Cricetulus griseus: one gene and its partner. The protein of the gene in region 1 interacts with the protein of each later gene in a pairwise test. Links are inferred from orthologs where the notes say so. Each region holds a gene or a part of one and is shown in the gene's direction. Other genes may lie near its edges.

Evidence for each region. The genes of interacting proteins can lie anywhere in the genome.
Region 2: the proteins of Ngly1 (region 1) and Gucd1 interact in binary tests that used the Homo sapiens proteins (3 or more experiments, as listed by UniProt). The two-hybrid records come from large-scale screens. The link is inferred for Cricetulus griseus from reciprocal best matches to the Homo sapiens genes NGLY1 and GUCD1.

What each region holds. Positions count from the first base shown.
Region 1 is NW_023276807.1:173,763,765-173,767,275, forward strand, and holds part of Ngly1 (peptide-N(4)-(N-acetyl-beta-glucosaminyl)asparagine amidase), read left to right. Parts: intron 1-1,387; coding exon 1,388-1,509; intron 1,510-2,937; coding exon 2,938-3,083; intron 3,084-3,511. UniProt on the Homo sapiens protein: Specifically deglycosylates the denatured form of N-linked glycoproteins in the cytoplasm and assists their proteasome-mediated degradation. Cleaves the beta-aspartyl-glucosamine (GlcNAc) of the glycan and the amide side chain of Asn, converting Asn to Asp.
Region 2 is NW_023276806.1:263,065,589-263,069,695, forward strand, and holds the start of Gucd1 (protein GUCD1), read left to right. Parts: upstream 1-1,307; 5' UTR 1,308-1,424; coding exon 1,425-1,467; intron 1,468-3,575; exon of another isoform or gene 3,576-4,107.

The sequences.
Region 1 (3,511 bases):
AAACATGTGCTCAACAAACTTGTCATTGCAGAGCCAGTTCATTCATGGCACTACTTCCTTCTCTTCCCAGGCCTGGGACTGACTTTTCTGTTCAGCTGGAGCACTGAACACACCAGCAGAGCCTTTCTCATTGCAGAATGAAAATCTCAGTGCCCTCCATTCTTAGGATAATTTTATGATTGGAATAACTTTCAGAAGAATGCTACAGTCATCTTGTTTGTAAATTAGCAGGCATCTTTAAATGTGTCCAAAGAATTAATCAAAATCATTAGTAAAAAGAAAACTGGAATTTATACTACATTAAAATCTTTGTGTGTGGGTGAGGAGTCCTGGTGTGTATATGTACAGGTGTGTTCACAGGTACACAGTGAAAGCCACAGGAGAATATCAGAAGCTGATTGAATCATCTGCCTTATTTCCTTAAAACAGAGTCTCTCACCAAAACTGGAACTAGGCTGGTGTCCAGCAAGCCTCAGAAATCCTCCTGTCTCCATCACCCCCAGCTCTGGGGTTACAACTATGCTTGGTCACACCCAGCTTTTTACATGAGTGCTGATCCAAACTTAGGTCCTTATGCTTATGCAGCAAGTGTTCTTAACCACTGAGCCATTCCTCCAAACCCTAATCCCCCCAGCCCTTCTTTTGGTTTTGGTTTTGGTTTTGGAAACAAGGTATCAAGTGGCACAGGCTGACCTTGAACTCCACCTATAGCCAAGAATGACTTTGGATTTCTAATCCTCCTCCTCCTAAATGCTGGGATTGCAGTTGTACAACACCATGCCATCTTTATTTGGTGCTGGGGATTAAACCAGGGGCTTATAGCTAGGCAAGTACCCTACAAACTGAGCTAAATCCCTGACCCTGCCCTTGCCCCTGCCCCTGCCCCTGCCCCTGCCCCAAGCTAAAATCCTTTGAGTAGTTTTTTAAAACTTGCTTGCAAGATAACTGTTGAATGTCTTAATTACATTTCTTAGAAAACTTTCCCACCTAAATCTTATTTGTCAAAACCATGAAGATGAAAACTTCCCTCTCCAACCATTCACCTGTGTCTTAGTTGTTACATGGCTTGTATTACTGATCCTGAGCATGATGGTGTCCTTGAAGAGGTAGTATCCATTTTTAATTAAGACTAAAATTGACTGCATATAGTGAAATTGTGTTCATCCTTGCCCAGAACTATACTCACTGAAGACACTTCCACTGTTTAAGCATAGTTCACAAAGACAAGCACAGTGCCTTACATAGGCTGGGTGCTTTAACCAATATTTTAAAACAAGAAACTAAGACTCATGATTGATACTTAGCATACAAGTGATAGAAATTCTTTAACAATTGGATTTTAATCATGAATCACAGCTGTTGTCTTTGTTGTTGTTTTTTAAACCAGATATAACAACCCTGAGAAACTTTTGGAAACAAGATGTGGACGCTGTGGCGAGTGGGCCAATTGTTTTACGCTGTGTTGCCGTGCATTAGGGTTTGAAGCTCGATATGTGTGGGATTACACAGGTACAGCATGTGGTAGGAGAGAGGAAGAGGTGAGGTAGGAAAGGGGCTCTATAGATTTGGAATTCAGATTTGTGCCCTAAGCCCCTAATTTTCTCTTTCTTATATCAGCCTAAGTTTTTTATTCACCTCCTGTCTTAGTTGGGGTTTCTATTGCTGTGAAATGACCGCAGCAACTCTTTATAAAGGAAAACACCAATTGGGGCTGGCTTACAGTCTCATAGGTTTAGTCCTTTATAATCATGGCAAGCAGCATGGTGGCTTGCAGGCAGGCAGACATGGTGTTGAAGAAGGGACTGAGAGTTCTACATCTTGATCCATAGGCAGCAAAAGGAGACTGTGAGTCATACTGGGTGTAGCTTGAGCATATAAGACCTCAAAGCCTGCCTCCACAGTGACACACTTCCCCCAACAAGGCTGTATCCACTCCAATAAGGCCACACCTCCTAATGGTGCTACTCCCTATGGGCCAAGCATTCAAACACATGAGTCTATGGGAGCCATTCCTATTCAAACTACCATACCTGTGTAAAATAAGAGCAGTACCAACCTCACAGGCATTCTCAAGGCTCCATAAGATTTTTGAAACAGACCTAACTCTATTCCTGGGAGCTAGACTGTATCCTTCTAATCTTTTAGCATGACATTAATGGTAGCCCTGTTCTGGGTGGATGGGAATATGTGTAATAATGTGCTGTGGAGATCATTTTTAAAGGGATTGCTGTAATTGACACGGCCTATATTGCAGTCTACACAAACACTCTGAGGAAAGCCTTGGTATTTGACTTGGTCTTCATTTAGAAATGACTGTTGTGTCTGGTTGCTGTCTCTGTTTCAAGGTTTTCCTTGTTTACACTATTATTTTAGAATCAGATGAAAATGTCAGCTAATAGTCTTCTCTCTGTCAAAATCAAATGTAGAGCCTCAAGCAGGGTATGGTGGCATATGCCTGTAATCCCAGCATTCAACACAGGCTGTGGCAGGAGGATTGAAGCCAGCCTAGGTATTCATTTACCTATTGATGAGACTCCATTTCAAAACCAAATATAGACCATAAACAACCGGATATCCTGTTAGGCCTCGTGGGTCCAGAGAGTGATTGTAGTTTCAAAATTCAGTCATTCCTTCACAGCCTGGTGGTTGTGATGCTTTGCTAAAACTTTGCCTGCTTTAGAGTTTGCCTGCTTTAGAGTTATAACACACATTATTTTTAATTAAGACTTACACGAGTACATTTTAAAAAATTTAAATACAAATAATCTACAATTATGTGTGCCACAAAATGCTTTTGCTAACTAACTAAAATTTAAACATTATAAATTAGATTATTATGTGATTCGTAGAACATTATATATAGTTAATTGGAAGTTATTCTTGTTTTACAAACTTAACTTCTATTTCCCATTTCTTTTTCTTACCCCATGTGAGTAGACCATGTTTGGACAGAAGTCTATTCTTCTTCTCAGCAGCGGTGGCTGCACTGTGATGCATGTGAAGACGTCTGTGACAAACCTCTCCTTTATGAAATAGGATGGGGCAAAAAGCTTTCCTATATCATAGCATTCTCTAAAGATGAGGTAGGACATAAGAGAAAGAATTACAAGAATAAAACTATTTTAAAGTGTATTTGACATTCAGGTCATATACATTTGCCCTGTGCTGTTTAATATATGTCATTTTTATATTCCAAAAACTCACTGTAATCAGTGTTTTCTGCTGTGGGTGTACCAAGGAATGTTCGTATCTATGTACCTACAGGTGGACATTAAATGGGTTCAGTTTTTAATATTTTAAATTAAGCTGCTACAAACATTCTGGTATATACTTGCTTTTTCTTTCTGTTTACTACCTAGGAGTAGAATGGCTGGATCATTGTCCAGTTATTTTGCAAAGGAATGGCACCATTTTATTTTCTTACCAGCAGTACATGAGACTTCCCAGTTTCTCCACATCTTTGCCAAAGTTTAATGTGGCTTTACTTTTAAATTTAGCCCTGACGAAGAGA
Region 2 (4,107 bases), on another chromosome or scaffold:
GGGGGGGACACAAAAGGGTCATTGCCAAAGGCTCAGTAGAAAACAAAAAGGAATAATAGCAGCATCTGCAGGATAGCTCGAACATGGCCCTTCTGCAGCACAGCGACTCGCTAAGACTCGTGCAGCAGTCGTGGAAGGCAGGGGAGGGCCAGCGCCGGAATCCGAGGGGAGCAGGGATGCAGAGGACGCTGAAAAGGAGGGCACACAGGGAAAGGGGGTATTTCGTGAGAAACGACTGCGGGCGAGCTCCGAAAATCGGCGAGCCGGAAAGGCACAGAACGCGCAGACAGGCGTAAACGAGGAGCTGCTCCAAGCGCGGGTGAGACGGTGTTTGGATCGGCCCAGGCTTCCCGCCCGCCATTAGTGCCCCGCTGAGCTCCTCCGCAGGCTCCCTTCCTGCCCCTAACCCTCCGGGGACGCCTAGGCCTCCTCTTACCGGTTCTCCGCCTCTCCTCACCGGCTCCCTTTCGGCCCTGGCACAAACGTTACACGGCGAAGGCGTGAAGCGAGGGAATGGCGGGCCCGGGGTACCCAGAATACCACGCGTTCCCAGGATACCGCGCGCAGGGCCCCTCCTCTTCCTTTCCCCAGCGGCGAGAGCGCTCTGACGTATGCTTCCTCCTTAACTCCGCCGGCTCGGAAAACGACGGCTCTGGCATTATCGTTCCGGCCCTGGAGAGGACCCGGGGGGCCGCCGGAAGCATCCGTCCTCGAGCCCCAAAAGGAACATGGAGACCCCCCCCCCACTTACAAAGTACTCCAGGGACGGATTGGGCGGGAGCTAGGCTGGAGCCCCAAAATTGCTGTGGTGCCACAGGAAGTGAGGCTTGGACTAGGAATCTAAGCTTTGGATCTGGTCGCCATCAGGTAAGCGGCGCACCGAGCGTGGGAAACTGGCATTTTTCATCGTGTGGCTAAGACCGAAAGGGAGGCAGAGGAGGATTCCCGGGGCGTTTCGATGAGGCAGGCACTGCGAGGGGCCGGCGCTAACACCCGGGGCTGCAAAGGAGCAAGCCGAGCGGAGGGGGTTTGGGAGGAGCCAACGTCGCTATGGAAGGGCCTGGGGGCGGGGCCCGGGAGGGGCGGGGCTTCCGCAGAAGGCGGGCCCTGCGGGTCGCTCTTTATGGGAGAGAAGTGGGTGGGCGAGGAGGCGTGGCCTAGGGGAGGGGCGGGTCTCCAGGCCGGGGACCTGGCAGGGACGAGGCGGGGCTTGAGGCGGCCTAGCCCCCGCCCACCCGGCTCTGAACCGCGGAGGCGGCGGCGGCGGCGGGCGGCGGTGGCGGCGGCGGCGGGAGGAGGAGGAGGAGGAGGAGGAGAGGCGGCGGCGGAACTCTCCCCACACTGGCCGCGCTCGCTGCCCAGCACAAGTCGCAGCTGCGATCAGCTCCAGGCCGGGGCCATGGGCGCCCTGCGCCACCCGGGTCATGAGGACGGAGGCAGAGGCAGCGGGGCAGCCGCTCGAGCCCGGTCAGTGCCTCTCAGAGGGCCTTGCCCTCACCGGGGAAACCGAGGGGGACTCCGCCCTGGAGCTGGGCAGGGTCTGGCCGCGCGACCTTGGGCCGCAGGCGGCCTCAGCCCAGACTGGAGCTTCCAGTGGACCTTAGCTAGGTGGATGGATATTCCTTCTCGTCTCCCGTCCTCCGCTTCTGGTTGTTTCTCGGGGAGTTCTGAGAGCAGTCAAGTGCAAAAGTCCGAGGGGGCAAAGGCACTGCCTTCCCCAGAAACGAATGGTCCTGCTTGAACCCCGTTGCGTGATGCTGTTCCTAGGGGGAACTGTGGAAGGCCTGGGGCTGTGAAGGGGGAAAGAACGGCCTGAGATCCCTCAGCAAAGGGAAGGGCCTTTTTTTTTTTTTTTTTTTTTTTTTTTTAATCTGGCTTCCCAAACGCAGCGCTTTTGTCTTAGTACTCTTCTCTCTCTGGTTCCCTCCGCCCCGAGGAAACCCGAACCCCTTTGCTTGCTCAAGAAGTGGGGAAAGTTGGAAGTCATGGTGGAGCTCTGCTTGGGGCACAAGAGTTGATATATTAATAAGCTGTTGTGGCGTGCTGCTATCTCATGGGAAGGGTCAAGGGGTTTGGGGCCTGAGCCCTTCCTTAAGTGTCAATTGGAGAGTAACACCACTTTCGGGGAATGGTTCCTTCTGGTGGTAGGCTGGAGCAGGGCTTGGACCTACCCTGGGATTTACATTTTTACTCCTCCAGTTATCTAACTGTGAACTTTGATAAGATCGTTGCCCTTTCTTAGCCTCAGCAAATAATGGCTCACTTGTGTCGAGCTAAGAGGTAGATACAGTGGTAAAGTGTTTATAGATGGTATAGGATTAATTTTCATAAATCCCGGTGAAGTAGGCTACTGCTGTTATTTGTACTTTTTGAGGTGAGCAGGCTGAGGCTGAGAGGGATAATGTGTCCAGGGAGAGTTGACTGCTTTCCTTCACTAGGGACAACCAGACAACTGAAGCCAGGCCACAAACAAAGCAGACCCTAGTTTTCAGGTAGGGTCACTTCTTGGCTTCAGACATCAATATCAGCAGCAGTTTTGAAGTCTAAATGCTAAAGCTGTTATCTGGACAAATACCAAGGCCTCTCCTACACTTATCACCTGCTTCCAGAAAACATCTTGCCTGTGCCAAGATCAGGATAGCCAAGTAGGGATATTTGCCTCGTGAGGCCTCAGGATCTAGGGGTTCTAAGGCTGAGTGAAGTGGGGGAGGGGGGAAAGAGAGAGAGAGAGAGAGAGAGAGAGAGAGATCGCTGAGTTTCTTAGGACCCTGAAGAGCAACCTTCCTAGCCCACATTTTATAACAGTATAAGAGAAGACATGGCCCCAACTAATTAGAACCAGAGTGCAGGCCACAGAGAGAAGAGGGAGTATCCAACAAAGGGTTGTGATCTGGAAGCCTAGAACTAATAGGCTCTGTAGTGACAAGGAGGCATTTCAAGGGGTAGAGCTTTAAAACAAACCTATTCAACAGCATAGAATAATGCTAGCTATGGGTAAAGTCTGGGAAGAGGCAAATGCAACCTTGACCCTACCTGCCTATTACAGAATTCTCAGGCCCACCAGGGAGAAAGCAGATGCCCCCTCTATGAGCCTGATGTGAGGGGGGAGGGGGAGGGGGAGGGGCAGAACATTTGGATGTCAGAGGTGAGAAAGCCACATTCCAGATCATTGGTTAGATAAAAACAAGATCCAGGTAGTAATCAGCTTGAGTAGATCAGAGCAAAAAGGGCATTTACAGCCTCAGTGAGGATTCTGGAAAGGGAAGACACCTATCTTGATAGCGCCTCATTCTGCAGAGAGTTTTCCATCAGTGTATTGAGAGAGAACGGTTTGAGTCTCTGGAGACTGAGGTTTACATCACCTTGGTTTGCCTGAAGCCTCTCACACAGCTCATCGTTCCTTCAGTAAGTGACTTTTTTTTCCTTCCTTTTTTTTAAACTTGTAGCACCGGGGATTGAACCTCGGTCCCTGACAATGCTACGCCCCCAGCCTCAAGTAATATGATGGGTCACTACTAAGCATTAGCTACTAGACAAGGAAACAGCAGACAAAACCAGCAAGTTACCTGGTGTCTTTGTTTATTTTCTCATAATTCTGGAGGCTGAGAATTCTAAGATCAGGGTGCTGGTAAGTTCAGTACAAGATCCATCCATTTCTTATAGCCAACTCTCTCTGGCTATGCCCACATGACAGGGAGAGAGGAAAGAAAGAGAACTTGCACAGCAGAGTATCAGAAGGATAAAAAGAAAAAGGCCTATGACTGTTAGCTTGCTTTTTCTTCTTTACTTCTTCTAAGATTTTGATTATAAAGTTTTGTGTGGCTCGAGTGTTTTGTCTGCATGTGTGTCCATGCAGGTGCCCTCAGAGGCTAGAAGAGGATGCCAGAACCCCTTGAACTGGAGTTACAGACAGCTGTAAGCCGTTGTGTATGTGCCTGGAACAGAACTGAGCCTGGGTCCTTTGCAAAAGCATCAAGTACTCTAACTGCTGAGCCATCTCCAGCTTCTTAGTTTTGTCAACATGATATAATCTATAATCACGTGGGGAAAGAGCCTTAGTAAGAATTGTCTAGGTTAGACTGGGCTGTTGGTTTGCCTATGAGGGAT